Notamacropus eugenii: one gene and its partners. The protein of the gene in region 4 interacts with the protein of the main gene of each other region in a pairwise test. Links are inferred from orthologs where the notes say so. Each region holds a gene or a part of one and is shown on either strand. Other genes may lie near its edges.

Region 1 (7,890 bases), about 4.6 Mb from region 4:
GTGGGGGGAAGGGGGGGTGTGGAGGACCAGGGTGAGGGAAAGGGTAAGAGAGAAGAGGGATGGCAAGAAGCAGGGGAGGATGGGAAATGCCTGGGTCATCCAATCATCCAGGCATACCCCATGGGGATCTCAAAGCACTTTATGACTTCCTAACCCTGAAAAGAGAAATGGAAACAGCTGTTGGGCACAGCAACAAAGGAAGGAAGGAGAGAAACTAGTCTAGCTTGGCTATATGCCCCAAGTGAGAACAGGCAGGGTCCCTCCCCTTAGTACCAAGACCAAGCAGTGCCTCTTGGGTGAGGGGTAGAAATCATCTTCCCTGAGTCAGGAGTTAAGCATGAAATGGTCATAGCCTTTTCTATTTCAGCTTTCCTTCCCAGGGACTCTGGGGAGTTCAGAATGCCAATGGGGACTGGCCTGCCTTCAAATCTTGGGCTCTGGATGCTCTCTCTCTTTCTCTCTCTCACTGTTTCTCTCTGCATGTTTATCTTTCCCTTGGTCTCTCTCTGTCTCTATCTCTGACTGTTTCTCTCTATCTGTATATTTCTCTCTCCCTTGGTCTCTCTCCCTGTTTCTATATGTACGTTTATCTCTCCCTTGGTCTGTCTCATCTTCTCTGCTTTCCTTCTGCTTTCTTAACCTTTCTATTTTTCTCCTTACTCATTTCTACAAGTCTTTCCCTCTGCTTTCCTTCCTGTATTTGTCTCTTTTTCTTGTCTCTGTTTCTTCTTCTTTGCTCTGTCTCTGTGTTTAGGTTTGTGTCTCTGTCCCTTTTTGTCTATCTGTCTGTCTTCCAGACCTGTTCTTGCTGATCCACAGAATGAGGCCATAGTAGAGAATGGCTTATCTCTGGAAATCAGCAGTGGGTGTAGAAGAGGTGATCAGCTCTGTGAGGAGAAAGCCCCCATAGGGGTAGGCAGCAGGAGAAGGTGGAAGACTTGGAGAGGGGGAGGAGGAGGCTGGGGGAAAGGGAGGAAGCAGGTGGAAGATGAAGGGAAGGTGGTCCCTGTGCTGGGTGATGGCGACATGAGACCTGGACTCTTCTTGAAAATTTAAATACAAAGTGTAGGCTGAAATCATGGGTTGACATGGGACTTCCTTCCACCCTACCCCACCCCAGCTAGAGTCACAGGACTTGCCTGCGTCACACTGGCACCTCCTGAGTTGAGTCCAAGTCATTTGTGGGTGGCTTCCACACTCACAAAGGGCAGCATTCGCAAAAGGAGGAAAAGAGGGAGTCCTGTATGCTGGGAAGATGCATGCCCATGGCCAGAGTGGGGATTTCACATGAGCAGTGCACTGGGGGGGCATGGGATGGGGAACTTGTCACTCTCTTGTTCACTTGTAATGAAGTCCCAGAAATCAGGAAGGTCAGGGAAGCAGGCCCCCTATTGTGAGCCACTTATACTTGCTGGGGCTTGGAGCAGGAGCTTGCCTGTTGCTTTTTTGTGCCCATTAGACTGTTGGGGGTGGGGAGGAGTGGGAAGTGAAGGCATTCACCAGCTGGATTCAATTAGGACTAAGGGCAATGCCACATCAGCAGATCAACTCACATCAAAGCTTTCTCCAATTCTTTCTTTTCTAAACATTATGCAGGGGGACACTGAGGCATGACTAAGGAGAGCTTGGCTGAGGGCTGACAGCCTGGAAGTATCAGGCCTTAACTTCTCAGTGCTCTGAGTTATATCATCATCATCATCAATTGACCCTGGATTCTCCTTTCTCTTGACGTTCTCTGACTTCCTTGACCTCTAGGAGGAATTCAGAGTGGATAATTTCCCTTCAAGCAGGCTGGACAATTCCTTTGTTTTCCAGTGTGGCAGAGAAGGCCTTGGAGTTAGGAAGGTTCCCATCCTGACTCTACTGTACGTGTGACCCAAAGCTAGTCACTTAACCCCACAGTTCTCTCTATGACTCAGAGAGAAAGTGGGAATATGCACTAGGAGAAGGAATTTCTTATCTGGGAGTTCCAAGTTTAGTCCCCACCCCTAGTCCTGATCACTAGGCTGTTTTCAGGAGGCAAAGACTGTGTCTGTTTTCCAATATTCCCTTTCCCCCTAAAACAATGTTCTCAATGTTTCCTTTCCCATCCTACCTCATTCTCCCTAATGGGGAGAATGGGCCCAGTTACCCCAGTCCCTTAAAGCAATAAGAATTTACATACACTTTGCCCATTCAGGCCTCTACATTCTTGACCACCAGTATCCCTAGGAGTTAGAGGTAGGGGTAAAGTGGGAACAGAGAGGGAGAGGTACTTCATTTAGGGAGAAATGGAAGCAAAGGGCCTTGATCTACATCCATCCCACCAGATGATGCAGGGATGGGATCAGAAGTAAACCAGGTCTGACTCCCAGATCAGCACTCTGTCTACTTCCTGTGAGCTTGACAGAATTCTCCAGTCCTTTTGGCAAGTCCTCTTTAATTTAAAGGCTTGACTCTGGGACTACAGCAATCAATGTAGTACTACTTGGAGGTTTTTTGTCCTTGTCCAGGACAATACATGGGAAAATAAATGGGGTGGTGGTGGTTAATCTCAGCTCCTTCTCTCTTCCCCATTTCCCCCCAAGAAGACAAGAAAAGGCTTCCCAGGTAAGCTTATATTTTCTTTGAACAGCAAGGTGCTAGGAGCAAGATGACCCCAGTCCTCTTCCCAATTTCTTTTCTCTGTACCTCAGTTTCCCTGAGCATAGGAAGAGGGCCCAGCTGCTTTTCTGTGGACTCCAGAGGGAGGAGCCAGTCTGCCTTCCCTTTGTCTGGTTCGAGGGATTGGCTGTTCTTCCCTCCTTGATCCCTCCCCTCCCTGACCTCAGCCTCTCCTCCTTTGCCCCCTCCTCCTCCTCTTTGGCACCTACCTGCAGAAGAACTGGTGGAGAGGATGGAGAGTCCATGAGGGAGAAAGCATTCCCTCCAGCCTCCACCTTGAGCCCACAGCTGTGGGCCTCTGGGGAGGCTGCCAGGAAGGGGAGAAGTCTGGGGTGTGTTCTCTCTCCCTCGTGACTGGGGCAGAATAAGACTCTTATAGGGTGGGTGGGTGGGTGGGAGGGGAGGAAGGAGAGGCAGTGAGACAGAGTCAGAGTCACAGAGAAAATGGGGAACTGGAGTGTGGGTGTGAGATAGAGAGGACAGAGAGATAACAAAGAGAAAGAGTCAAATCAGCAGGGAGTCTGCAAGCTGGAGAGAGGGAGGAAGGGAGGGAAGAGAGAAAGAAGGGAGGGAACCAAGCAGAGAGTTTCCAATCTCTGGCCTGTTTGCAGCAGGGTGGGGTGTAGGGAAAAGTCATACTTTTTGTCTGTAGCTTTTTCCCCTCCCTCCTCATGTTGTGTGTTTATGTGTGTTGTGGGGGTTGGGGTGGGGGAAAACTGGAAGGGGGGGTGTAATTTGGTCAGGAGGCTATAGGCAAGCAAGTGCCCATCTCCTGGGGAAGGGAGAGCTGCTCTCATTTCAAGGGTGGGACCGAGGCAGAGGAGAGGCAGGGAGATCACCCAGTGATCAGGGTGGGGCGTGTTTAGAGGAGGAGGAGTCCTGGGGGTCCCAGGGGACCACAAGAACCTTTCCCAGCAGCTTTCCTTCTGTGCCCTGTGGAGCCTTTGGCACCAGAGTGGGGCTACTCAGAGTTTCCAGCAACATTTCCAGAATGGGTGTGTGGGGTGTGCTCCTCTGGTCCTGGAGCCCGCCTTTAGTGCAGGAATGATGAATAAGACGGACAGTCGCAGTGAGACACAGGGATAGAAACTGAGAGCCCCAGAGACAGAAATAAGAGACAGTGAAGCAAAGAGACTGACACAAACAGGGCACGGCTGCAGCACAATTAGAGGTATAAAAGAGGTGTGAATAGTGAAATTTATACACATATACACAGCCGTGGAGAAACAAGGACTTGGCAGACGTACGTTTACACATATACATACGCATGCAATGGGCCAATAGAGCGGGAACACATGGAGGAAGGCTGCCCTGGGCTGGAAGGATTTTCTCTTAAGGAAATGGTACAGGGGAGGGGCTGGGGTAAGCCAGCCTGGGAGGGCGGATGAGGGTGGAGGCCCACCCCTGACGGTAGTGGGGTGGTCCGCATGTTCCCAGGCAGCGGACAACACGTTTTGATCTTGTTGTCTTTCCGATGTTCCTGTTGCTCCTGGCTCTGCTCCTAAGAACCTACGCCCATTGACTCCCTAGACTCATTCCACTCCCTCTTAACCTGTGCTGCTGCTACCATTTTTCATTAGTATCCCTCCTGCCTTCATCCATGACTCTGGTTCTGTTTGGTCTTCTAAATAGTCAGATGAAGCTTAGGGACAGAAAGGAATGGAGAAGGATCCCCCTGACCATAGCTGTTGAGAGAATGGGAGGAAACAGGGATGCTGGAGGAGTGGCAGGAACAAGCACAGTGATGCTCCATCTCTGGATCTTGGCAGGGAGTATTTAAAGAGCTTTTGGCCTGGGGAAAGGAAGAAAAGAGAACTTGTTTGTAAGCTGAGCTCAGGCAACCAGGTTGACTTTGACCATCCCAGGGGAACATGTTCCAGAGACATTAAGTCCCAGTTGGAACCCTCACACTGTTCTCTGCACCTTAGAAATAGCTCTAATCCCAAGGGGAGCTCAGAAAACAGGCCACTCCTACAACCCATACCCTCCTCCATGTCCCCTCTGTTCCAAGGGACACAGGCACCAATCCAGCTTCTGAAAGAAATGGGATTGCCAAGTTTCATGGGATGACATACACAGTACAGTGCAAAGAGTTTGGAACTGGGAACTAGGAGACCTGGGCTCCATTCTTTGCCAGGCCTGTTTCTTTCCCTATAAAACAAGAACTATAACACTGACCCACTCGTTGTACCAAATATAGCACTTGCCCTGTTCATACCACGAATGATCAGGAGGTAGGCTTCAGGACTCCGGAGGAGGGCATCCCAGCCTGAAGAACTCTGGGCAGCTCCCTCAACCCTGAGGTTAGCAGCCACAGAGTAGGCCTAGGAGCCCAACCTATGGTAGGTCCTTCCTCCTTCTTTAGGTCACAGTGCACTGAGAGAGTAAAACTTCTCTAAGGCCCTTTGTTCCTCCAACATGAGATATTTTATGAAAGGGATAAGCAGGAATGGGGATCCATTCCCAAAGAACATGAACATGAACAGTGGTGACTGGTATCTCTAACTTGGTTTCCCTGTTGTAACTTAATCAGAAGTGTGTGGGGGGTTTAGAGCACTCCTTTTCTTCTTCGCAATGAAAAGTTAGGGGATGGAGTGGGTGGGCATTGTGTGAGGATTCGTTGAAAAGAGGAACTAACAAGGACTAAGCAATGATCTTTTTTTAAAGAGGCCTGGGACTTAACCCTTCCTTGGGAACATCCACCCCGATCTCCCTGCCTTTGAAGATACTGCCTTCATTCACTCCCTCTGCCCTAAACATTATCCCCACCCAGGGGAAACCAGCCAAAAAGGCTCCCAGGCCTGCACAGGGATCTGTTGCCTTCTCCTTACTTGCTCTCCAGGGCTGGCACTGGACATCCTTGATTGCCTGTGATCCTGACCAGAACACTACTTGCCAGCAGCAGAGTCCCCTTATTCTCCAGGGCTCTAGCCTAGACTCCAAGACAAATATTTAACACAGAGGTTGTGGCTGAGCTGACTAATGTCCTGACTTCCTGTTTGTCATGAGGGAGGGTCATGGAGCTTGAGGATGGTCTACCAGTCTCATTCATCACTGTGGGAATAGGCACTTGAGTAAACAGACTGGGGGGAGGTAAGTGGGGAGGGGGGTGTAAATTGTGGAAGAGGGGCTAAATGGACCCACCCTCTTCTGACTTCTTGATTCCTATGTAAATGAACTTTGGCCTGCCAATTCAAGGCCCCAAGCTCAACTGGGTTTATTAAATGACACGAAGCAGGCAAAACAAAGCACGTCATGTGTGCATTTGGGCACCATCACTTTCTCTTCCTGGTTTTTTTTCCTTCTTTTCTCCTGTAACCTCTAACCAGGCCGGCTGCCTGGCTGCAGCCGCTGGAAAGGATGCCCTCTCTATCACCCATACTGCCTCACAGAGAGGTCAAGGGAGTGAGGGAAATACTCAGAGCTTCCCAGAGTATGAAGCAGGAGAAACCTACAGATTTCTATCTTTTTGGAGAGGACAGGATAAACTCTTCCATCTGGAAACCCCAGGCCTCAGGTTTCTCAGCTCCTCCGTCCGGTCTCAGCTGTGATTGTTCTGGCTCACTTCATCAGGCATTCACTCTTTCTCTCCCCTCCCCTCCAGGGGAGGGATGGGGGTAGGGATTCTATTTGTTTTTGGGGAGCTTGCTACTGCTGTTCCAGCTGCCCAGCACTACAACAGCTTGCTCTTCTTTTCCCAGCTACTTGATGCAGCAGCCACAGGTGTTTTTTGCTTCAAGCCCTCAAAAGCTATCCCACCTCCTTTGCTGTCTTTTCTTTTCTTTTGCATGTTATATAACGTGTGTAAATAGAAATCTATCCGTCCTCTACACCTATTATAATAGGTGGCATTTACATAACAGCACTTGAAGGTTAGCAAATCACTTTACATACACCATACGTCACTGAAGCCTCAGGAACCTGTCAGGTAGATATTTTGCCCCAAGGAAGGGAGAAGGGGAGGGATAGAGAGAGGGGGGGGAAGGGAGGGAAGGAGAGGGAGAGGGGGAGGGAGGGAGAGGGGGAGGGAGAGAGAGAATGTAGAGGGAGGGATGCTCCCCCTCCATGATAAACATCAAACATCAGCAACTGGTCAGTAACTTAAAAGTCAGCTGTCTGAGGAGCCCACTATGACATGCTGCCGGTATGTGTCAGAGGTAGGCTCTAACAAGGGAGCCTTGAGGGTGATTTGGTGACAGGGGCTACAAGCATTTTATGGATGAGTGCTTTGAGGCTCAGAATCTGCTTTCACAGCTAATAAGCATCAGAGATAGGGTCTAAACTCAAGCATTCCCAACTCCCAAGTCCAGAGAGCTTTCTACTAGACCACATTGCCTCTCTAATGGCAGGAGATGGCTCAGCCAAGAGATTGCCATGGCAATGAATCTGTGGCCATGAGCAGGGGAGGTTGTTCATACTGACAGAGGGAGGGACTGGGGAGCAGAGCTATGTAACTGCAAATACAGGAATAACAGGTCATTCTGAAAGCCAAGCTTGGTCACCAAGGGAAGTAAGGAAAGAGGACAGGTTAGGTGGACTTTCGTTACAATGTGAAGGGTGAGACAAGTCTAAGAGGGATAGGATTTACAAATATTTTTTCTTGGAATGCAGAAGTATGAGGGAACTGCAAGAGACAGGAGTCCAGATCTTCATTCATTTCTTAGGGGAAGAAGTATCTTTTCCTACTATTACTAGCAGAGAGAAAGAAAGCCATTCTACCAGAATCCACTGAGTTTACAAAGAAATTGGCTCCATGCCTTATTTTTAGGTATTTTGCTCCCTATACACCCTACATTCCATCTTCCTATGACAAAACATTCTTTTTTCAGTGGTTTGGATTGCTCTGGAGGGCAAGACCACAATGACACAATGGTCAGCAAGATAAATCAGAAAATCAGATCACACAGGATACCCTGGCACCAATCATTCCTTTTCCGTTTTAGTTTTCTGGGCTCTCTTCTTTCCCTTGGGAATCTTTTCATCCTGGTATAAGTTTATGTTACTTGCCAGATCCCATTGATGACCCACCTCTATGCCAGCTGCCTATGGGAAGAGAAGTAAACAAATAGGACAACTAATCTATTTCAAGGTCTTGAAAAGCCCTTCTAGGAGTGTATTGGTTGAACATTTTAAATCACAGTGCCTAGATCTAGGAAGTTTAAATTCTTGAACATGGTGTACTTGTCTAGCACCAGGCATTATTCAACTGAACATTTATTAAGTGCTTCTATGTGCAAGAGCCTGTGT
Region 2 (7,993 bases), about 5.3 Mb from region 4:
GTGGTAATGCACCATTAGTTGGCTCTGTGTTTTCGAGACTTTGGTCAAATTTTTTCATTTTCCTGGGACTTATTTTTCTCATTTGTAAAAATGAAGAGATCTGTAGGGTACTACTATGGCTATGGAATCTTGCAAGTACTCAGACTCAGTTGATGTGTTAGTTTTGCAGAACTTCTCTTAAAAATGCTTGCTGGTAGGGGAGAGGAAAAGAGATATTTGGAAATTAAGTTGATATAAAAACAAGATGTAAATAAAAATTAATTTTTTAAATGTGGAGTTCACACTGTAAAACCCTCCCAGTTCTAACAATTTATCTTAAATATAACAGGGTCCTATAGTGGAAGGCAAGAGAAAAAAAAGAAAAGGGACAGCACATAGCCAATTCCCTCCCCCCACCCCTCCCAACGGGGACAACTTGACCTCTGAATAATACAATGTTGACAATTCCAGCGACCTTCTGGTGAGAGAGAAGGGTTATGAAGGATACTTCCTTCAGATTAAAATGGGTTTTCTTATCCTTCAAAGGTGGGTGTGGGGACTACCTCTTATCTCTAAGATTCCCAGCCAGCTCTAAAAACCCGAGATCCACAGAGGTAAATACCAAAACAGCCTTCATTCCAATAACTTTTTCAGCTCATTAGATGGAGCAGCAGCAGAAGCTGCTGTAGGCCAAGGATAGTCTCAAGGTGTACTGATTAGGGATTCTAGGAGTCAGGGAGAGCCATGATTATTTGTGTCAGGTTTTCCTAAGCAAATTAAGGCTCTCCCATAATCTCATGGGGGTGGGTGTGAGATGTGTTATGTGTGAGAGAGAAGCACAATTAAGAAATTCTTTAGACTTGGAATTCCAAATCAAATTAGTTGCAACTCCTGCTTTAAAAACACCCTGCTTTCAGCTGTGCCTCTGGGAAAACGTTCATCTGCAGAATTCATGAAAACAGATCAGAATCCATCTGCAGTAAGCTACCACTTACATTTTACAAGTCTGTAAAGGCAGGAGGTAAAAGCATGGGTAAAAATGACTTATCATCAAACTACATGACGATCACATAAAAGAGATTCAATCAATGCAAAGGGAGACAAAAAAATGGCCAAAGATACCACCTGAACTTCACCCACCCCCAATATTACTCAATAAACCAGTATGTTTAATACCTGTCTCCCGGAGCAAATAGATGATACAAAGTCATTCAAGCCCTTTAAAAAGTGCACGTGTACCTGAGAAACATTGTTTCCTGCCCTTTCTCCTCCAGATTTCTTTTAACCAGTACAGGAAAAAAAAATACACATAAACCAAAGCAGAAGACTGATGACTGATCTCTTTCTTTACCTTGAGTTTTGGCCCCAGGTCCTTCTAATCCCAAGGATGGATCACAGAACTCCTTTAGAGGCGATCGGATGGGTGTTTCCGCTTCAGGAGTCTCAAAATTACCTTCAGAATCCGAGCTGCCGAGGGGGGAAAAATGAGGAATTACCACTTTCAATGCTATTTTGGACATCCTTGCACAGCCTTTAAACGTCCAGACAGCTCAGAGGCCCGCATTTTGTGTGACTGTCCTCCTCCTCCGATAGACAAGCCTGTGGCCATCACAGATTCACAGCAGACACATGTGCAAGCAGGTTTTCAGGATGGCCGGAGTCCCCTCACTAGTGGCTTCCTTGGGATCCTATCAGATTCCCTTCGCTGAACATTAATCCGCCGGAGCTCTATCCCACACACACTCCCTTAGGTCTGCGCTTCTTTCCCAACACTAAGGCTACCACACAGGGACCTGAAACCTCGCAGTTTCCAGAGGCCGGGCCGGGCCGGGCCAGGCTGGAGCTTGGGTCTCTCCCCTAGCGGGCATGACCCTTCATCCTGACCAGCAGACAACCACAGTTCTGAGCACAACCATGGTCCCTGCTCCTGAGAGATCAGAAGTCGATCCCCCCGTCTTGCCTACCGTCCAGCGGGCGACCATTTCATGGTCCCCGGCTGAAGATACCGGGCCAGCCTTGCCTCTGAGTTCCCTACGACCACTGCTGCATTTTGGGGTGACCCCACTACCCGGGCCCCCAATCCACCAGGGATGGAGTGATCCCTCCCCAAGTTCCAGAACCGTGAGTCCAGCGCACTGAAAGCCTTCGAGCTCATTAGCGTCTCTAAGCTTGCAGAAACGAGACATTACCCAGATCGAGAAACGGGGTGGAGGGGAACGGGGGGAGGAGAGAGCGGAGAAGCGCCGCAGCCCGCTCCAGGGGCTGGAGGGGGTGGGGGTGGGGTCGGGGAGGGGGAGGGGGAGGGAAGGAAGCACTCCTGCACACCACCACCGACAGAAACCCGGGGGCATTCCGAAGGCTGGGGGGTGGGAGGAGGGAAAAAGACCAAGACCAGCATGGAACCGATGGCCCGCGGACGCGGGAGCCACGAGTTCGAATCCCGGGCTCCGGCCCAGCTAGGGATGCTGCATACTTGCCTGAAACTCCAAGACTTGGTCTCGGTTTGGGAGTCGTCTTCCTCGGCCTCCGCCTCCGGCCCCCGGTCCTCGCCATCAGCAGCCCCTCCGCCGTGCACGGCGGACCAGGTCCACTTGGCCCACTGGACCGGGGACAGGATCTGCCACGGGCTGAAGGCCATGAGCGCGGCTAGCCCCGGCCCGGGCCCCGCAGAGGGCAAAGGTGAGGGCAGGGGAGATGCAATCCTTTTTTTTTAATCCCCTGTTTCTTTCAAAATGGAGGGAAACGGTGACAGCCGCCTGTGGATATCCGCGGCCGGGGCAGCGCGGATGTGGTGAGACGTACAGGTCGGCTGGCTTCCTCCCCGGCCCCCGAGGCGCCGCCGAGCGCGGGCCGGAGAGCCGCGGCACCCGCTCCTCAGGGACGCCCGCCGAGGCTGCGGGAGGAGGCCGCCCCCTCACGCCCCCTCATCCCTCCCTCCCCCCGCCCTCCAGCCCCGGCTCCTCCGCGGCTCGCCCCGGCCCCAACTGCGGGAGGAATCAGCTGGCTGCCAGAGAGAGGAGACCGCTCCGGGCCGGGCTGGGCGGGGCTGCGCCGCGCTCCGCTCCGAGAGCCGCCCCCTCGGCACGTACCACTCAGGCGCAGGGGGGCCCGGGCGGAGGGGCCGCATTCCCCCCTCCCTGGCCGCGGGTGGACTCTTCCGAGACGGGCTGGGATTCATTTGGGGGAAGAAGTTGATGGGGGCTTGGGGGGGGGGAAGAGATCGAGACTCCACCCCCCACCCCCTTTCCTGCTCCATAGCAACAGGAAACCTATTTTCTGAGTCTGCTTTTCCCCACGTTCTCACCACCCGGTGGAGTTACTGTCACAGGAATGGGCAGACCTCCCCCACTATCCAGTCAACACTTTTTAAGAGCCTACTGTGCGCCAGGCAGGCAGCTGGGTGGCTCAGATCCTGCCTCAGACCCTTCCCAGCTGTGTGACCCTGGGCAAGTCACTTAACCCTGCCTGCCTCAGCTTCCTCCTCTGTGGAAATGAGCTGGAGTCTGACAGCCACGAATGCAAAAGCCAGCCCCTGCCCTCAAGGCACCTGCAGTCTAAAGAGGAAGGACCACAAGCAAGCAAATATGTACAAAGCAAGATGGGTTATATACAGGATAGATAGGAAGTGGTGAACAAAAAGAAGACACTGGAATGGAGAGGTTTGGGAAGATTTCCTTCAGAAGGTGGAAACTTGCGGTCCAACCGTTCTGGAGAAGTTTGGAACTATGCCCCAAGGGGCATTTTAAAGGCCACCTTGTGTAATCTCATTTGATCCCCACAACAACCCGGAAAACTGCATTATTATTGTTCCCCATTTTATAGATTAGAAAACTTAGGGTAGGAGAAGTTAAGGATCACTCAGAGAGTAGTATCTGACTGAGGCAGAATTCCAATTCTGGTCTCCCTGACTCTTAAATCCATAGCTCCATGGACTACTCTGCGCCTTAGACTGGTTTTGTTTGGTCTAAGAAAGCAAACCAGGAGCTGTGGATGGAAGTTTTAGAGGGCAAATATAAACTCTATGTAAGTATAAGGGTGGAGGTAGGAAAAAAGTGGAATGGAAAGTAGGTAGTAAGTGGATAGAGCTCCTGACCTGGAGTCAGAAAGACCCTCCCTATGTTCAAAAATCTGGCCTCAGATACTTACTAGCTATGTGACCCTGGGCAAGTCACTTAACCTCTGTCTGCCTTAGTTTCCTTGTCTGTAAAATGAACTGGGAAGGGCAATGGCAAATCATTCCAGTATCTTTGCCAAGAAAACCCAATATGGCATCAGGAAGAGTCAGACAGGCTGCCTTGACAGACAGGGTTCCCCATCCCTGGAAGTCTCCAAGGAAAGACTACATGACCATTACAGTATGGTTGGAGCATACTCTGGGCAAGAAGTATCCAGTAACTTCACTTGTTTCTAGCCCCACACACTCTCAAAATTAATAATAATTCCCTACAACCACATGGCCCAACAGTAAAAAGGCCAGTTCCCCATAATGTATCTCCCATTAAGTTGAAAGTCTAAATGGAAAATCCCTTCCCTCATTCCAACAACTTTTTGTTTCACAAAATAACCTCTAATAATAAATAAAAAGGTTATCACTCTTCACTTCAACCCTGTCAACTAGAGACCCAAAGAACCTCAGATCCTCTAATCAGTTCCGCTAAGTCCAGATCCCCAAAGCTAGAAAGGCTCCAGGGGGTCAAGGATGGTAATAGGGAGAGGCCCTAAATTGGGACAGAAGGGTATGAATCAGAGTCTTGAGGATAACCCATTCTTAAAGGAGGAAGCTCCTTTAAAATGAGCAAGGCAAGCTTACTGAAAACATGCAGGCGGTGCCCACCCTACCCTAGCCAGGGGAGCAACCCAATTCCCCCAAGACATGTTAGATGACGTTACCCTTCCTACTAACCTTGGGATTTGGAAAATCATCATTAACATTCTCCCAATCTATCAGATAGGAGTTTTGAACTAGATGACTCCAGGGGAAAAACAAAAAACAAAAAACATGACTCCAGGGACCCTTCTTGCACTAAAAATCCAAATACCCTATAAATGGTGATCTGATGGAATTTGACACTTTCCCCTCCTCCCATTACAACAAAAAAACAAAGAAAACAAAACAGCATTTGGAGAGGGTCTGAAGCCTTACATCAAAGGTGTTGAATTACACAGTAGAATCAATAGGGTATTCTAGGGGCTCATCAGTTTTACATTTCTCTCACTTAAAAAAAATTAATAAGGCTTCTGCCTCATTCCATCACTTTCTTTCTGACTCAGTTAGTGAGCTGCTTCAGGCCTGAGTGAAAGCAGTGTTAAAAATAAAACCCTCTCCACTCCAGGAGGCAGAGGAGGAACAGCTGAGCCCCTCTGTTTTCTTATTGTTTCAATGTGGAGGATATTTCCCCCATTTTACCAGCTCACTCCTTTGCCACGGAAGAGTTAAAGAAAAGGAATACAGGAGGACATTACAATGGCCCCAAGAGGCACAAGCTCAAATACCCAGCTTCAATTCAATAAACACTCGTTAAGCACCTACTAAGAGCTAAGCCCAGTGTAAGCACTGGAGATACAAAAAGAGGCAAAAGATGATCCCTGCCCTCAAGGGGCTTACGTTGTAATGGGGAGACAACATGCAAACAAGTGCATACAAAGCAAGCGGTATACAGGATTAATAGAAAATAACGAGGGGAGAGGGGCAGCTAGGTGTTGCGGTGGATAGAGTCAAGAAGACTTGAATTCAAATACAGCCTCAGACAATTCTAGCTGTGTGACACTGGGCAAGGTACTTACCCTCCATCTGCCTCAGTTTCTTCAACCGTAAAATGGGGGTAACAATAGCAGCCACCCTCCTAGAGTTATTGAAATAATATTTGTAAATTGCTTCCCACAATGCCTGGCACATATTTAAGTCCTATATAAATGATCATTCCCTTCCCTTTTCCCCTTCCCCCACTTAATAAATGTCTATTCCCTTCTTTCCTTACAAGAAATCATTCAACAAGCTTTTATTAAGCCCTTACTGTGTTCACACTTTGCGAACCTTAAAGACTTACATAATTGTGAGTTGTTACTATCCTTTATTTAAGGACAGACTAGATGATCAATTGTTGAGTATGTTTTAGAGAGGATTCTTGTGGATGTCCCTGCTATTAAAGATGGGGTCTTGGAGGCCCTTAAGAAATTCAGATTCAGGGATTCTTCAACAGGTGAGAAAATGGCCTAAAATGACTCTTTCCTCTGAGGCTAGAGGATCATTAATAAGGAGAGAGCTAATGTCAAAGACATCCACAGATATGAATTAATTTTGCTAGAAGCTAGATGGATCCCATTTACTTTTAAAGCTCCATTCTCAAATGGAATTAAAAATTAGGAGAAAAAACTGAGAACTTTGTTTTTTTGTTTCCTGTTGCTAGAGGGAGCTGAAGTGACAAACCAATGGAGAGTAGAAATAATCCCTCCCTGACTCCACTGAAGTGGTTTGCCGTTTCCTTCAGCTCACTTTACAGTTGAAGAAACTGAGGCAAACAGGGTTAAGTGACTTACCCAGGTTCACACAGCTAGTAAGTATCTGAGACTGAATTTGACTCATGAAAATGGGTCTTCCCGATTCCAAGCCAAGTGCTCAACCCACTGTGCCACCTGGCTGCCAGAGAATGGTTAGAGAGGGTTTAATCAGTGGCACCAGACTAAGAGGTGTAATCACTACACACAGGATGACCCAAATCTCAAATTTCCCCAGAATGCTTTGCCTGAAGACTACCCATATTTCCACAATTCCCCCATCCTTCCAAACAATTCACTTGACCCTGCCATCCCTTCAAGTTATCATCATTTATCTCTCCTTCCTTTCACAGGCTTCCTCATCTCACACTCATTTCTCAACCTCTTGCAACCTGGCTTCTAGGCTCACTTAGCTGAAACCACTCTTTCCAAGATTACCAACCATCTCTTAAGTGCTGAGTTTTATGGCTGTCACCTAGTCTTCATCTTTCTTGAAGGGGCAGCTAGGTAGTCCAGTGAATAGAGCACTAGTGCATGAGTCAGGAGGACTCGAGTTCAAATTTCACCTGAGACACTTGACACTCACTAGCTGTGTGACCTTGGGCAAGTCACTTAACCCCAATTGCCTCTTCCTGGGTCATCTCCAGTCATCCTGTTGAATATCTGGTCACTGGATTCAGATGGCTCTGGAGGAGAAGTGAGGCTGGTGACCTGTACGGCCCTCCCCTCACTCAAAACAAAGTCAAGTGCAAGTCATGTCACCATTTTTCTGATGGCATGGTCTTCCTTCAGCAACGAAGGACAAACGTATACACTTCTTTCTTGACCTCTCTGGAGCACTTGCCACTGCCAACCAACCCCTCCTCTCTCACATTCTCTTCTCCCTGAGCTATCTCTTAATACAGTCCTCTCCTGGTTCTACTCCTACTTGTACAACTGTTCCTTCTCAGTAATTCTCCTTGTCTGGATTCTCATTCAGGTCCCCATAACTCTTGTGCCCTTTTCTCTTTCTAGTCTCTCTGTTGGGGAAGGCTTCCATGAGAGGGGGTAGATCATGTCTGGGTGATTTATTGGAAAGAATGGATAAAATCAGAGATCTTTCAAAAACAACAAGCTGGCAGTTTAGATTTATGCCATAAAGTTCAATTATTTACTGTTTAAGGAAATAATGTGTTGAGAGAAGAATTTCATGCTTCAATAGCTCTGTGATTTCATCCTTGTGGGAAAGTATTCTCCAGAGATACAAGCCAGAACCCCTCATGTGACTCTCATCCATTTTCCCCTCAAGGTTCCACTCTTGTTCTTTTACTATCTTAGATTTCCCAGCAGGTTGCATCTTTGTCTGTCCTTTCATTCTTTGCTACATGACTGATTTACCTTCATTGTAGGTCAGACATGTACATTGTACATACATACATACATACATACATTGTAAGTCCTCAATCACGTCTTTCATAAAATTCCTCGTGCTCAAGTCATAATACATTTTTCTTACAAGTTAGGCTGTGGAACCAGTTGA
Region 3 (6,969 bases), about 86 Mb from region 4:
CAAAATATTATAAATAATTGTACCCTGCCATAACAAAATATGTGAACATAAATAAGTAAAAAAATCTTAAATGGTTTAAGTCCAAAGTTCTCTATATCAAGAGAGCACAGGTCCTGTTAATTCATATTTCTAAAATCCAAAACCAATCTCAGAATTTGTACCAATGGGGTTAGAAAGACCTGAATTCTCCAATGAGGTCAGCAAAATTCTAACAAATTGTTTCAAGTCAGCAAGCTACTTTAAAAGCAACATTTGACTACATAAATTTAATGATTCAACTCATTGAAAGTATGGACATCTTTAAAAAATGGATTTTATATATCTGTACATGTGTATACATATGCGCATGTGTATATTTATTTATTTTTTCCATAAGGGTAATGCCTGACACATAATGTGTTCTAGCTTCCAAAGTGTTTTCACATCTGTTATCTTATTTGATCTTCCCAAAAGCATGAAGTACGCAGCTTAAAAAATTATTTTCATTTTTCAAATAAGAAAGCAGAGGCACAAAGAGGTGAAGTGACTTGTCCAATGTCACATAGCTAGTAAATGGTATTCCTGCCATATTAGGGACTGTTGCTATATATAATCTTGGCCATCCAGAATTAATACAATTTACTTTAATTCCAAAGGAGAAGAATTCATGTTTACTGAGCACTAAAGTTCTTTTCACTATCATAAACAAAATTTGAATATTTGGGGATTCCGGCATGTTATTATGTTATCACTCGCCAGGCCATTTCAAGGATTAAATCAAGCTCTTTCCCATAGGGCTGTGCCATTTTCACAGCCCAACACCTTCTATAAGAAGACATACCTATCTTTCCAGACTACTCCAACTAATTTATTTTCCATGGATTTTTTTTTTAAATCAAGCCCCTATCAGGCAAAGACTTCAACCTCAGAAAAATTTTCAGATGGGTTGTAAGTTCGTTAAGAAGTTAACACTTATTATAGGCACCAGGGGGCCTCCCAAGGATAACTGACAGCGTGGAGGAAAAGGCAAAAAGAGTTCACAGCAAAACTTTGTTTCCTATTTAAGCAATAAACTATTACGGACTTTCACATCTGGATTGAATATATTTAGTCACACTAGATAACTATACAGAACTAATTAGTTCTTTAGATACAACAGGTTAGAAAAAGAAATTTTCCAAAAAGTAAATAAACCTTATTTTGCTGATCTCCCAAAAGCAAGTAGTACTCTTTCACTGTATCAACTATTTTCACGTAATTTAGGAAGCAAACAAATTAGGGTAGTTGATGCTACATTTTGGTATTGTTATTTGACAAGGATTCTTAGCATTAAAATGTTTTTCTACTATAACTAAAAGGCAAAACAATTAGTTATGGAATAGATGGTGGTTTTCTTTGGGGGGGGGGGGGGGGTAATTAGGGAGACCAAGGCGGTAATGAAACTGAAACGTACAATTCAGTTTTTTACATTTTATAAGAAATAATTTTAAACTTTTTCAACATCCCTTTAGGAAAAAGAAAAAAAATCCTCCATGGCTCAGCGGAACACACAGTCAACGAAATTTATTAACTGAAATTCTTAAGAAAAAAAGAGGGGGAGGCTACTTTCCAATTTCTGCACAAAACTAATTAGGAGTGACATGTACAAAAGTAACTCTAATTCATGTGAATCAGTGAAGCCACACAACCCAATTCCACCATTTTTTATTTACTGAGACTACTTCGCTAAGATTTTCAATGTCGATCACTCCTTGTCGCATCTGTCCCAGAAGGGGGAGAGAAAGCCATCCCCAAAACTCTACCATCTAGTCATAGAACCGATCACATATTTGGATAGAATCTGGACTACTCAACTCTCCCCAGCCCCCTCTCGCTTCTTTATCAATAAGGTTTTACCCTCGGTAAACGGCCCGAAAATAAAAGTGGATCCAAAGCCTCCAAGGAGAGCGCAGCGGAACCCGCTACCCCATGAGGGAACAGGGGAGCCACCAAAGGTCAGTTTCTGGAGACCAGGACTCAGAATTTATCCGGGAAACCTGTGAGTGTCCGGAACGCCCGAGACTCCCAGCTCCTTCTCGGCTCCCACCCCGGGGGGTCGCCCCCCTTCCTGGGAGCCCCCGAGCTCGAGTCTCTCCCCGCCCCCAAGCGAGAGGAAGGGGGCCCGCGCTCGGACCGAGCCGTTCCCTCCCGCCCCCCTGGCGGCCCCGCCAATTCGCACGGCTCCCCGCCGAGCGGAGAGGACTTCAGCCCCGACCCACCCCCCGGGCCGGCGGGATACCACGATCCCCGGGGATTGGGGGGGTGTCACGCCAAGCTCCAGGCTCCGCTCAGCCTCCTCCGCTGCCCCGCCCCGCCCCCCCGGAGCTCGGGGGCCTGGAGAGGGGGCGGCGGCCCCGGGGGCGCCCGCACTCACCCTCCAGAAGCCGGGTGATGAGACTGTCCACGTTCAGCTCCCCGTCCGCCATCTTGTCGGCGCTCGACTCTCCTTCCCGGCCGCGGGAACAAGGGCTTATCGGCGGTCGTGACGGTGACGGCGGTGGTGACGACGGCTCGGGCGGCCCGCGCTCCCAGGCGAATCACCCCTCTGCGGGCTCGGCCCCGGCTCCCCCTTTCCCTCCCCCCCGCCCCGCAGAGCAGGATGCGTTCACCCCCCACAGACCCACACACAGATCGAAAATAAATAATTAAATAAGTGAACCAGAGGCAGGGGGGTAGCGGGGGGAAGAGGGAGGGAGCGCCCACGAACGCAGCCGCGTCAGGAACAAGCCGCCAGCGCCGCCGCCTCCGGGCTCCTCCTCGTCGGCACCGCCCAGCTCCAGAGAGCTCAGCAGCGCCGCCCCGGACGCCACCCGCAGCCACAAGCCTAGCCCCGCGGCCCGCCACCCCCAAAGCCGAAACTGCTGCTGCGCAGGCGCAACTCTCCTCCCTCTCCCCTTCGCTCCCCTCCCATCACGCAAGCGCACTAAGTTTTCTCCGCCGCGCCGGTGCGACGAGCTCCCCTTCCGGCTCCAACGCACCGACTCTCCTGCGACGACGCAAGACGTCCCAGAGGCTCAGCCGTTTTGCGTGACGCTGAAGCTCCCCTTACGCTAGGCGCACGTAAGCAAGGGAGCCCTTCCCCCACTCTCTTCCCAGGCTCTCCGGATGGCCGAGGCCGCGCAAGCGCAGTGCCCAAACTCCTTGCGTCCCCTCCCCCCCACCCTTCCCTTTCCAGTTTTGGTCTCCGTCCCTCGTTTCCTGAGCAACTCAATCGTACGAGAAGTTGCCGGGAACGTTGACCACAGTTTAGCGCTACTGGAAACGGAGACTGGGATTTCCGAAAAGATTGCCCTTTGCAGGAAAATTCAGGCATTGTCAGTCTGTTCATGTTGAACCTGGCTTCCCAGAGGAGCTTAACCATGTAGCCTAGAACTGCGACGCTGACGAAGGGGAGCTTGGCTCAGCCCCCCTGGGCTCGGGGCCTGGCCTTTTTACTCCCTGTAGGGCCTTGGATGGGCCCCTTCCCCCTCGGAGTCTCTTTGTCCTTGATCGGGGGGCGGTGTTCATTCAAGTACATGAAGCAGGTCCGTGCCAGGCGCCTCGTAATTGATCAATGGAGAAACACTTATTAAATGTCTACTACCCTACTTAGTGCCAAGCTGGGGGTACAGAAAGAGGCCAAAGATAGCCTCTGCCCTCAGAGACCTTACAGTCTAATGCGCGTTTGGGGGGAAAACGTAGACAAATGAGTACAAAGCAAGCTAACAGAACAAATAGCAAATAATTAAAAGAGGAAGGGCATTGGAAATGAGAGGAGTTAGGGCAGGCTTCCTATAGAAAGTGGAATTTTAGTTGGAACTTAAAAGGAGAAGTGGAGACTCAAGGGCAGAAAAAACCAACTGGACTCTACCAAAATAGTTCCCCTAAAGCATAGGTCTCGCCATATAACCGTAAACTCCTGTGGCTCTGTCTTACCTCTAGGAGCAAATAGAAACTTCTCTGTTTGGCTTTAAGGCCTTTGGTTCTTAAACTTTACTTCTGACCTGTTTTATTACACACTATTCCCCATCATGAGCCTCTCTCACATCCCAGGTACTCCATTTCCCTTCACCATGCCTTTGTACTAGCTGTACCTAAGGCAGATATGCACTTTCCTCCTTACTTCCACCTCTTAGAATCTCCTGGTTTAGCCTCCGAGACTCACCTCAAAACACCACCATAGATCTTTCTTGGCATGGCTATTCCCCCCTCAAAAAAGTCATTTTGTATCTACTTTTGTAGGATACTGTATAGGTTATATGTATTTCACATGGATTTTCTAAATTTAGCTGACAGGAAGACATGAATTGATAACTCTGAAATCTCTTCTACCTTTCAAAGGAGACTTTGAGTTCTGATTTTAGGGGGAGGCAGGAGAAGGAGCCATAAAATTTTGTTGTGCTTTCTAAAGGGAGAGGGGGGTACCAGACTGGAATTATAATTCTGTGCCGCCCTAGACATTGCCAATCTAGGGGAAACACTTTGTTTTTAAGTTTGTTACTTCTTGGTCATCCCCATTAAAGGAGGTGATTATATATCTGAAGGCTTGACTCCTTTCCCATCAGATGCTAGTTACACAAAACTATTGCAAATATTGAATAGCAAGTAAACCTATTTATCCAAGCAGATAGCAAACAAAAATCACAGATATTATACAGAGTAGACTGTACCAAGTAATACACAGAGTGAATGACTTCTACGCCTGAGAGTGAGATGGCTCAACCAAGAGAATCCTAAGGGGAAATTCATCAAAGTCTCTAGAAATCTGGGACATGTCAAGAGACTGGCTTCTCTACATGTTGACAGTTTCTCAAATTTTCTTTTCTTTCTCCCCAGGGGTCTCTCCCTGAAGAGAGCCTAGAACTTTGTGCGTCTTCTCTCAGAAACCGGAAGACAGAAAATATCTCTCCTCTTCCAGGCTCTCACCAACTCCACCCCAAGTAATCATTCTCTACATCAAAGAGGACCGTCTCATGCAGTATTTGCACCAGTCTTGAAATGGTATATGTGTACCCATTGTGTTTCCTGATAGAATATAATCTTCCTGAAAATAGGGACTATTTCAGTTTTGGTTTTGTTTCCCTCATAACTCACAACTCACCTTTGACATGTGAATATTGAGTTTTCAACAAGCACAAAACAAAACATTTTCTTCTGCAGAACAAAAAATAATCAAATTGAAGCTGCCTTGAATAGTGATTTAGAAACATGATCTAGTACATTGCACATAGTAAATGCTTGATAATAACATGTTTGTGGATAATACATGATCTATCTCTTGAAATTACTTTGTGTTACTTTGCATAGACTGTGTATTTATTTACTTGTGCATATGTTGTGTTCTCCCCATACAATGGAAGCTCCTTGAAGCCAGGGACTGTTTCCTTTTTTGTCTCTTTTTCTAGTACCATAATTGCTTTGTAAATGTATGTTGAATTGAATTAAGTAATTGTGTGTTAGGACTGGCAGACATCTTAAAGATTATCTAGTTCGGTGGTTCTTAACCTTCAACAAAACTCTTTGGCAGTCTGGTGAAGCCTATGAACCCTCTTTCAGAACCATCATTCTAAAGGCATAAAATAAAATATGTAGGATTACAAAGGAAACCAATCATACGGAAATATAGTTATCAAAAAATTTTTTTTAATTCTCAGACTCCTGGCTAAGAACCTGTCTATGATCTAGTCCTATATGTTCATTTTATAGATGAGAAAACAGGGACTGGCTCAGGAACCAGTTAATCTACAACTCTGTTAATAAACTGGTTGGTTGGTTGTTGTCGTTCCTTCTCAAAGAGGACCAAAATAACATCATTATGATGGAGCCAGGGTACAGTGTGTCTGACTGTGGCTGATCAGACCAATATGAGCTTGGAAGGTCAGATACAAATAGTCCATATGAACTTTTGGAGTACAGATGTCTCTAAGTTTGCCCATCTCGCATTTCTTTTGAGTTACCTCAATTCTGCTTTATTCATAAAGCACAGCACCTTCTTTGATGTGGCCCCTTCATGCTTGGTGGTCCTGTGCCAAAGTCTCTCATGTCTCACAAGTGATACACAAGTTCTTCAGAGAGACCTTACCTGAAGAGGCTCTTAAATTAGGGATGATAGCAAGTCAGTCAAAAGCTATTGAGCCTTTGGTTTGTCTGTGTCTCTCCCACTAAGTTATGGACATGTCCATTAGCACCTTGTTTAGAAGATAAAAGACAACTCATGACTATGTGCCTGGACTACCTAGGAAGAACTGGTTGGTTCCAAAGCTTGGGAAAATGGAGTCTTGTAGTATGAGCTGCTCCTTTGTTCTGGCCCATAAAAGTGAGCTAAGAGAGCTTCTTGGGTTCTTTTGGCCTTTCTTCAGGGGTGTAGCCAGGGGTTTGGCGGCAAATGTTTAAGCACCAGGAAAAAATTATAAACAACAAACCTTTAAGCTTAATCTGCAAAATTAACATTTTCTTCATCATCTTCTTAAGTCTAGACAATCAACAAAACAATAAATGAGCCCTGATATGAAGCATTCAAGGATTTCTGAGGTACATATTCTCATATTGAAAATTTAACAGGAGGCTCTCTCAAGTTATTAAAAGTGGCTCCATCATACCCCTGTGTCTAGCCAACCCTGGGCCCTAGACACATCTCTACTAAAAGACATTAATGGCTAACAAAGTAAAAGCACATTGCAGTTGAACATGTTTATCTACTCAGTATGAGAGCAGCAATGATTGGGGCAATAATGGTATATCTTGGAGAAGAACTTAAAAGTTATAGATGCTAACCTCTGACCCCAAAGGAGAGTTTATGGGTGATATTCCCAAATTTAAGGTCCCTATGTTAAAGAGTTGGAGATTTTGGGTTCCTGGCATCATGATGCCAAAATCTAGTCCTCTAGCCAGAAAAAGAAATTTTCTTGGGGAGTACAAGTCTTGGGGATTGACTCATAAGATAATTCACATTTAAGAGTTTCAGGGAGCTGA
Region 4 (7,088 bases):
TTTATGTAGTATATACCAAATATTTAAGATGAGGAGAGAAGCTTAAAAGTAAGGAAACAGACCTGTGATTAACAAGGGTTTTTCCCCACTGATTTCCTGATCCACTGAAGTACTCTGCCAAGGCTTCCAGTAAGGGGTGGAAGGTGACCCTGGGCCCTAGAATGCCACAGTCATGTACCTTAAGCTTTGGCAGATCATAACAAGATAGAAATACTTCAAATACAGTCAACAGAGGCCGTTGTGTCTGCAGCCTAACCATCCTAAACCCCTGACCTTGCTAATTCATAAAGAAAGTAGATTACCCACACTCAGACACTCTCAGGACTTTTCAAGGGTTAGGGTCAATTCATAGACCAGGCACCAAATCAAATTAATTCAAATCCTTCTCTCCCCCCTTTTCTCTCTCTTTCAGGATTTTAAATTTCTGTTATTCTGCATTTGACAGATACCCACAAACATTTCCACAGGCAAGAAATAAGGATTGTACCTGAAACTGCATGTCTATTACATACAACTTATTTGCTTCCTTCTTTCCCCAAGCAACTCTTTCCTCTTTTTTTTTCTTTTTGGTGTTGTTTTTAAAAAATGTATTTTATTTTTAATTTATGGAATAAAACAAGAATTTCCACAACACGGGACAATAAAAAAGATGATTGCACATGAAACTACAAATATACTATATACCACTTGCTGTTCCTTTCAAATATACAACAAAATTCATATTAAATGCGTTTGTTTCCCTTTTTTCCCCCTCCATGGCTACCATTAGACACAAATAGGTGTATGTATGTGTATATCTATATGTATATAATATATATACACACATATATACATACATGGATACACACATACATAATTATTTTATACATGTTTCTATTTATCAGTTCTTTCTCTGGATGCAGATACGCCTTTCTTCATATGTGCTTTATAACACACCCCTTTGTAATACAAGTTTTCACGTGTAACACTGAGACCTACTTGACTGTTGTGAGGAAAGTACAAACTTTAAATGGAGGCAGCCCAGCTTATGGATGGGCAGCCATCCAAGGACTTGGGAGGACCTGGGTTCAGATCCCCCCTCGGACATATACTGGCTGCCTCCAGGTAAGACCTATATAACCTCTCAGAGCAATCCTCTAGAGCAAGTGGCCTCTTCCCCAGCGTACCTGGCCGGTGACCTCCCCGCCAGCTCTCGGGGTTAGGAAAGGCCTCAAGCTGCCTGCCTGGGGCCACCGGCTTTGCTGGGCATTCTGTCCACAACACTAGCTACCAAGGGACTTGGCTCCAGGCCTGAGGACACCGCCCACGACCCAGCCGGCCCAGTCAGCCAGCCGCCCATCAACAAGCACAAGTTCTCCCCCCTAGGCCGCCCACGCTGGGCTGCTGAGCACACTCGGTGCCAAAGCACTGGGGCACAGCAAAGGGCTGGCTCTTGAAGGAGTGCTTCAAGCTTGTGGAGCTTGGAGACCTCTCTAAAAGTGATCCAAAAGGCACCAGGAAAAGTGCCCGAAGCGCAGGCGTTAAAGGATTTAGAGATGGAAAAGATCTTTACAGATTATCTAGTCCTAAATCTCATTTTACAGATCAGGCAACTGAGGTCCTTCAGAGAGAAAAAGGGACTTGGTCAACTTCACACAAGTGAAAAATTGACTTATCAACCGGTAGAATTCGAACCCATAACCCAGCTTCCCAGGGCTGCAAATCCACCATGCCGCTAGTATGGAGCAGGGCTCCGTAAGTGTGCTTTTGGCCGCCTAGGGGGTGGGGTAAGAGGCTGTTGAGATCTTGTGCCCAAAAAGTGAATGAATGTGAGTGTGCGCGTTCCCGTGAGCCACAGGCGTATACAGGTGCGCCTCTGGGAGCCCGGGTGCGAGTCCGGATGCCTGGCCCCAGGGGGGTGTCCAGGCTGCTTCTCTCCGCCACAGCCCAGTGATTTTCTGACTCCACAGGTTCTTTCCCGGTTGTCCCGGGAACAGTTGCGCCAGCTTGAAGCAGCGCTGGCTCCTGGCACATGAGCATGCACACACACACACACGCACGCACGAGCACTGACCCAGGCTTGGTCACGCAGCGCCACCCTTGTAGGCTGGATCCCCGGAATGCTTCAGAAGTCCCCTCCAACCTTCGCCTCCCGGCTTCCACTCCACCTCCGGCAGGCGCTACCCGGCACTCCCCGCCTCCTCTCCCCGCCATCCATCAGGACCTGTGGCTCACAAAGCCTGCCTGCCCGCGGCGGCGGACACCAGACACCAAATACCAGACATCGGACACCTGTGCGCCAGCCCCATCCTGCCCCCAGCCTTCCCCACACACCTGAGCTACTCCTAGTGCCAGCGCCTGGGGGAGGGGAGGAAGGGGATGGAACCGGGGGTGGAGGTGCAGAAGAGGGGGAGGGGTGGTTAGCGCTTGATCCAGACTTGTCCCATCCACACTGCCCTCTCACCTCGCCTCACCTCACCAGGTCCTGCCTGGATCTCTGCCAAAGGCAGGAAACTAAGCCCGCTTCCTGTCCTCAGCCTCAAGTCCTAGGCAGCCTTTTCTTCCGACTTCATGCCCCCTCCCCCAGCCACAAGCACAGAACTTTTCGTTTCACTCCCAAGAACACTCCATTGCGTGCCACCCCACGGCAGCTTTCCCCGGGTTACTTCACTCTCCTCTCCAGTCCCCTCTAACTCTCTCCACCCCCGGCTCCACCTGTAATCCCGAACTCACCTGCACAGGGCGACCCAAGCACCTCTGTCTTTCAGTTTGGGCTGTCAGAGGAATGACGAATTTGGGAGAGGGGGAGAGACCGGTGCCGGCGGCAGCAGAATTTGGCAGGAACGATGTTATTAAAGTCCGAAAGCTGAAGGAGCAAAACCCTGTCCCTGCGTGCGCCTCCCCGGACGGGTCCCACACACCCAGATGACTTGGAGCTCGCAGCCCCACCCCTGCCTCTTGCAAAGTCCCAAACTGCTCGCGCAGGCACCAGGCGCCTCTGCGCTGCTGAGCCCCAAGTATCTGACTGCATGGACGCTGACTCCAAAGGGGCAACCCCGGGGATTTGGGTCTGAAAGGAGCAAGGAGAACCTTTCCCTTGCTTCCAAAACTAGCAATTTAAGGGAGGTCCTCTCACAGTCACTCCTTTACGACTCTCTGATGTGGTTACTTCCCTTACTATTTTTCAGTACCTAAGACACTTATTTTTATCTGGGGTAGTCCTTCATCCATTCCAGACCTCCATGAAAGTTAGGAACAGTGGTGCAGAGGATAGAGTTCGGGACTTGGGAGGCAGGAAGACAGTTCAAATTCTGTTCCAGATATGTGGCTCTAAACAAGTCGCTTAACCTCTCTCAGTCTCAGTTTCCTCTCTTGTAAAATGGGGGTGATAGCACCTGCTTCAGTGAGTGGTTGTGAAGATCAAATACACTTTGCAAACTTTACAGCTTAACGTCTAAGTGCTGTTAAGGGTAGTGGCTGAAACAGGACCTTTCTGAGCTTTGACTCATTCAGAAGGCATTTAAAATCAGGTCACTCTCTTCAGTTCTACTCTGTGTCCTAAATGTTGACTATTTGCTTTTAGTCTGCCCTTTAATTTACAGTTCTCCATTATCAAAAGCCATAAAGGTATGACATTAAAAGACAGGCTTAGAATTTAGAGGAGAAAAAAATAAAAAACCCAGAAAGGATGGAATGTGAAGAAAAATGAAAACATTTGGGAAAATATTTCATTTCATTTCCTTATATTTTGTTCAACTAATGAACAACACATTATAGAATCAAAATTCTAGGATCTCAGAATGGAAAGGGACAGCAGAGGGATCTAGATCAATTCTTACTGAAAGCATCAATGTCTGTTGTCTGAATAGTACTCATCCAATGATGGGAATGCATAATATTATCACTATGCAGTCCAATCCCTCAAACCTTAACTTAAGATAATAACACTGCCTGTAAATCCAGAGGGCCTGGATTCAAATGCCGCATGACCTGTATGACCTTGAACAAATCTCCTACCTTCTCTAGGCCTTGGTTTCCTCATCTGTTAAATGAGGAAGTTCAACTATATTGTTCCTGAGGTCCAGCTCTAGACCTGTGATCCTCATGTATGTAAGCACCTACTTCGTTATTCCCCAGCTCACTAAACTCCAGTGGTTCCTGTGGTTCTAGGATAGCTACAAATTCCTGTTTGGCTTTTAAAGTACTTCACAGCTTTACTCAAACCTGCTCTTCATTCATCACTCTCCTTAATGGAGTCTAAAATCCAGCCAAACTGATTTACTTTTCACATGCTGCCTTGAACTGAAGGTATTTGTGTGTGTTTAGGGCCACTCAATGGCCCTAGATTGAAAAAATACTTTTTAGACGTCTTGATTGCAAGGATTGTCTTATACAACTTTGCATACTACAAAGCTGTCCAATGAAAAACCACTAAAACCCAACTGTCAAACTGAATTGTAAGCAATTTACTTCAGAACTTTTTAAGTCCTTCTCTTTTTCTCTTCCTGCCTTCCCTTTCTTCCCGTATCTCTCTCTCCCCCTTCGTCTCTCTCCTTCCCCCCTTTCTTGCCTCTTTTCTCTCTTCCCACCACCTTATCATCTCTCATCTCTCCTTTCTGTTTCATTTCCCCTATTCCCTGCAATGCTTTCTTAACTAGACATAACTATGGCATTGGCTGTGTGGTTGTTGGCTTTTTTTTAAAGTTTTATATGTGTGTAATACCTTGCTACAATAAGTAGCTTATTTTAAGGCTAGGGGTAATACAGTTGTCCTTAGGTTCATATGGTTCCTTCCTCTGTTGCTTTAGGGAATTAAAACAAAAAGTTAGGAGTATAATGACTCCAAATCCCCAGCAGAGGATTGGCTCTCTGCCTTAATTTATAATTAGGTTTATCTCTAGCTAACCCCTGACCTCTTTGTGGTTGAGATGAAATTCATGTTATTCGAAACATTTATGTAAAGAAGAAAAGGAGTTATATTACAGTGTCCTCTTTAAATTTACATTTAATTTTTTCCCTCAGTTACATGTAAGCAAAAATGTTTTTAACATTTGACAGTGTCTATTAATAGACAAATACCAGAAGGGGAAGTTGGGGAAAGAACTGACCTCTTTTTAGAACTTTGGATCTTTGAGAAGGAAGGTAAAACTGATGGCATCAGTCCAAGTTTTGCACTCTGAGATCCTAAAGGGCCAAAGGCCCTCCTCTATCTCTCTCTTCTCTGCCAACTTTCTTTCTTCTTTTGCATGTTGCCCCTTTGCTGTCGATTCTTTCCAGCTCAGTTCTTGATGTTTCAACTCCCTCTACTCTCTCAGACTTATGACGTTTGAAGAGCTGAACTCTCTCCTGCATTTATACAAGCTCCTTGGCATGGCCAAGTCCTTCACCGACTCAGCACAGATTTTCTTTGCACCTAATTGAGACATCATCTATTGTCTTTAAGAGGATGTCTAGGTCTTGCTCATATCTAGTTCTAATTGAATCTGCCAGTTGAGAAGTGATCCTATCTAACAAAGGTAATCCACTTTTGAGTGGGTAGAAGTAATCCATGAACCTCTTTTTGCAATTTTTAAAAATAAGTGATTTTGAAGCTCTTGTATTGCTCTGAGAAAAAATAAAACTAAATAAGGTTGTCTTTTGTGTGACCTTCAATTGTTTCTGTGTACCCTCCACCCTAACCAATATAAGCCTCCACTCAATGGCCCTAGATTGAAAAAAATCTCCCCACTCTTGATGGGGAAATAGGAAAATGGGAGAAAAATCTGAAATGGTGTATTAAGCTCTATAGTAGAGAGTTTCTAGGCACTTAGCCTTTGGGGATCAGAAAAGGAGAAAGGAGAGTCATAGTTGGGCTTCCATTGCTTGGTGGTCTTCTTTACCCAGTGCTTAGCATGGTGTCTGGAGATTGTTATTGTTGTTCTGACTCTTTGTGACCCCTTTTTGGTTTTTCTGGGCAAAGATATTGGAGTGGTTTGCCATTTCCTTCTCCAGCTTATTTTACAGATAAGGAAACTGAGACAAATAGTTAAGTGACTTGCCTAGCGTCATGCAGCTAGTAAGTATCTGAGACTGGATTTGAACTCAGGTCATCCTGACTCCAGGCCCAACCTCTCCACTGTGCCACCTAGCTGCCCCATCGTGTCAAACAGTAGATATTTAATAAATATTTGTTGACTGTACCTCCAATATCCAAAAGAAGACAATTCAAATTCCATGTATTTGTATTTATGAACACCATGGAAAAACCACCTTAACCTTTATCTTTCTATACTGAAAGCTTTTAAGGCATCTTGAAAAGACCAGTGAATCATTTCATTCAATTTTGCATAAAATAAACAACCTATTTTCCAGCCTTATTAACCATCACTCTCTTCCTTTCCTACATTCAAAACTTCTGCTAGATTTTCCTTCTTGCTCCTTCTCATCTCAAGATACCCTCCTCTTTCAGCGCCTTGGCCCAAGATATCTCTGCTTCCCTACCCCCATTCCTCCACCCCCTATCTCTTATAAGCCTTTGTTTCTTTTAAGACTCATGAAGACTTTCCAGATTCCTCACGGTCCTAGTACCCTTCTTTCCATAATTTTTTGTGTTAGCTTGTATTGGGGACAACTAGTGGCCGTGTGGACGGACCAGAAGTCAGGAAGCCTTCAAATCCAGCCTCAGTCTTACTAGCTGTGTGACCTAAACTCTACTTGCCTCAGTTTTCTCAACTATAAAATGAGGATACGTAATAGCACCTGCCTGCCTGGGTTTTTGTGAGAAGTAAATAATATTTATAAACACAGCACAGTACCTGGTATATGATAGGCGCCACATAAATGCTTATTCCCTTTCTCCACCTTTTATTTGTTTTGAATATATTTTATATTTTCTTATTTATAGACTTCTTGCCTCCCCTAATAAAATTTAAGGTCCTTGAGGACAGGGATTATTTCCTATTTGCTTTGGAATCCCTAGTACCTAGCCCAATGCCTGTCATATAGTAGGCATTTAATACATGTTTACTGATTGATAATTAGAGCTTGGATTTTGAACCTACTATTGTAAGGCTCTTTCATGTAATCAAAAATTACATTCACATTGAATTCAGTTACACATATGATTAAGA

Evidence for each region.
Region 1: the proteins of SH2D4A (region 4) and SORBS3 interact in binary tests that used the Homo sapiens proteins (3 or more experiments, as listed by UniProt). The two-hybrid records come from large-scale screens. The link is inferred for Notamacropus eugenii from reciprocal best matches to the Homo sapiens genes SH2D4A and SORBS3.
Region 2: the proteins of SH2D4A (region 4) and TACC1 interact in binary tests that used the Homo sapiens proteins (3 or more experiments, as listed by UniProt). The two-hybrid records come from large-scale screens. The link is inferred for Notamacropus eugenii from reciprocal best matches to the Homo sapiens genes SH2D4A and TACC1.
Region 3: the proteins of SH2D4A (region 4) and PPP1CB interact in binary tests that used the Homo sapiens proteins (3 or more experiments, as listed by UniProt). The two-hybrid records come from large-scale screens. The link is inferred for Notamacropus eugenii from reciprocal best matches to the Homo sapiens genes SH2D4A and PPP1CB.

What each region holds. Positions count from the first base shown.
Region 1 is NC_092872.1:612,075,202-612,083,091, forward strand, and holds the start of SORBS3 (vinexin), read right to left. Parts: upstream 3,007-7,890; 5' UTR 2,889-3,006; coding exon 2,853-2,888; intron 1-2,852. UniProt on the Homo sapiens protein: Vinexin alpha isoform promotes up-regulation of actin stress fiber formation. Vinexin beta isoform plays a role in cell spreading and enhances the activation of JNK/SAPK in response to EGF stimulation by using its third SH3 domain.
Region 2 is NC_092872.1:622,022,854-622,030,846, forward strand, and holds the start of TACC1 (transforming acidic coiled-coil-containing protein 1), read right to left. Parts: upstream 3,013-7,993; 5' UTR 2,618-3,012; coding exon 2,457-2,617; intron 1,447-2,456; coding exon 1,331-1,446; intron 1-1,330. UniProt on the Homo sapiens protein: Involved in transcription regulation induced by nuclear receptors, including in T3 thyroid hormone and all-trans retinoic acid pathways. Might promote the nuclear localization of the receptors.
Region 3 is NC_092872.1:530,449,584-530,456,552, reverse strand, and holds the start of PPP1CB (serine/threonine-protein phosphatase PP1-beta catalytic subunit), read right to left. Parts: upstream 3,016-6,969; 5' UTR 2,445-3,015; coding exon 2,393-2,444; intron 2,082-2,392; exon of another isoform or gene 1,876-2,081; intron 1-1,875. UniProt on the Homo sapiens protein: Protein phosphatase that associates with over 200 regulatory proteins to form highly specific holoenzymes which dephosphorylate hundreds of biological targets.
Region 4 is NC_092872.1:616,685,239-616,692,326, reverse strand, and holds the start of SH2D4A (SH2 domain-containing protein 4A), read right to left. Parts: upstream 3,010-7,088; 5' UTR 2,713-3,009; intron 2,662-2,712; exon of another isoform or gene 2,444-2,661; intron 2,224-2,443; 5' UTR 2,054-2,223; intron 1-2,053. UniProt on the Homo sapiens protein: Inhibits estrogen-induced cell proliferation by competing with PLCG for binding to ESR1, blocking the effect of estrogen on PLCG and repressing estrogen-induced proliferation. May play a role in T-cell development and function.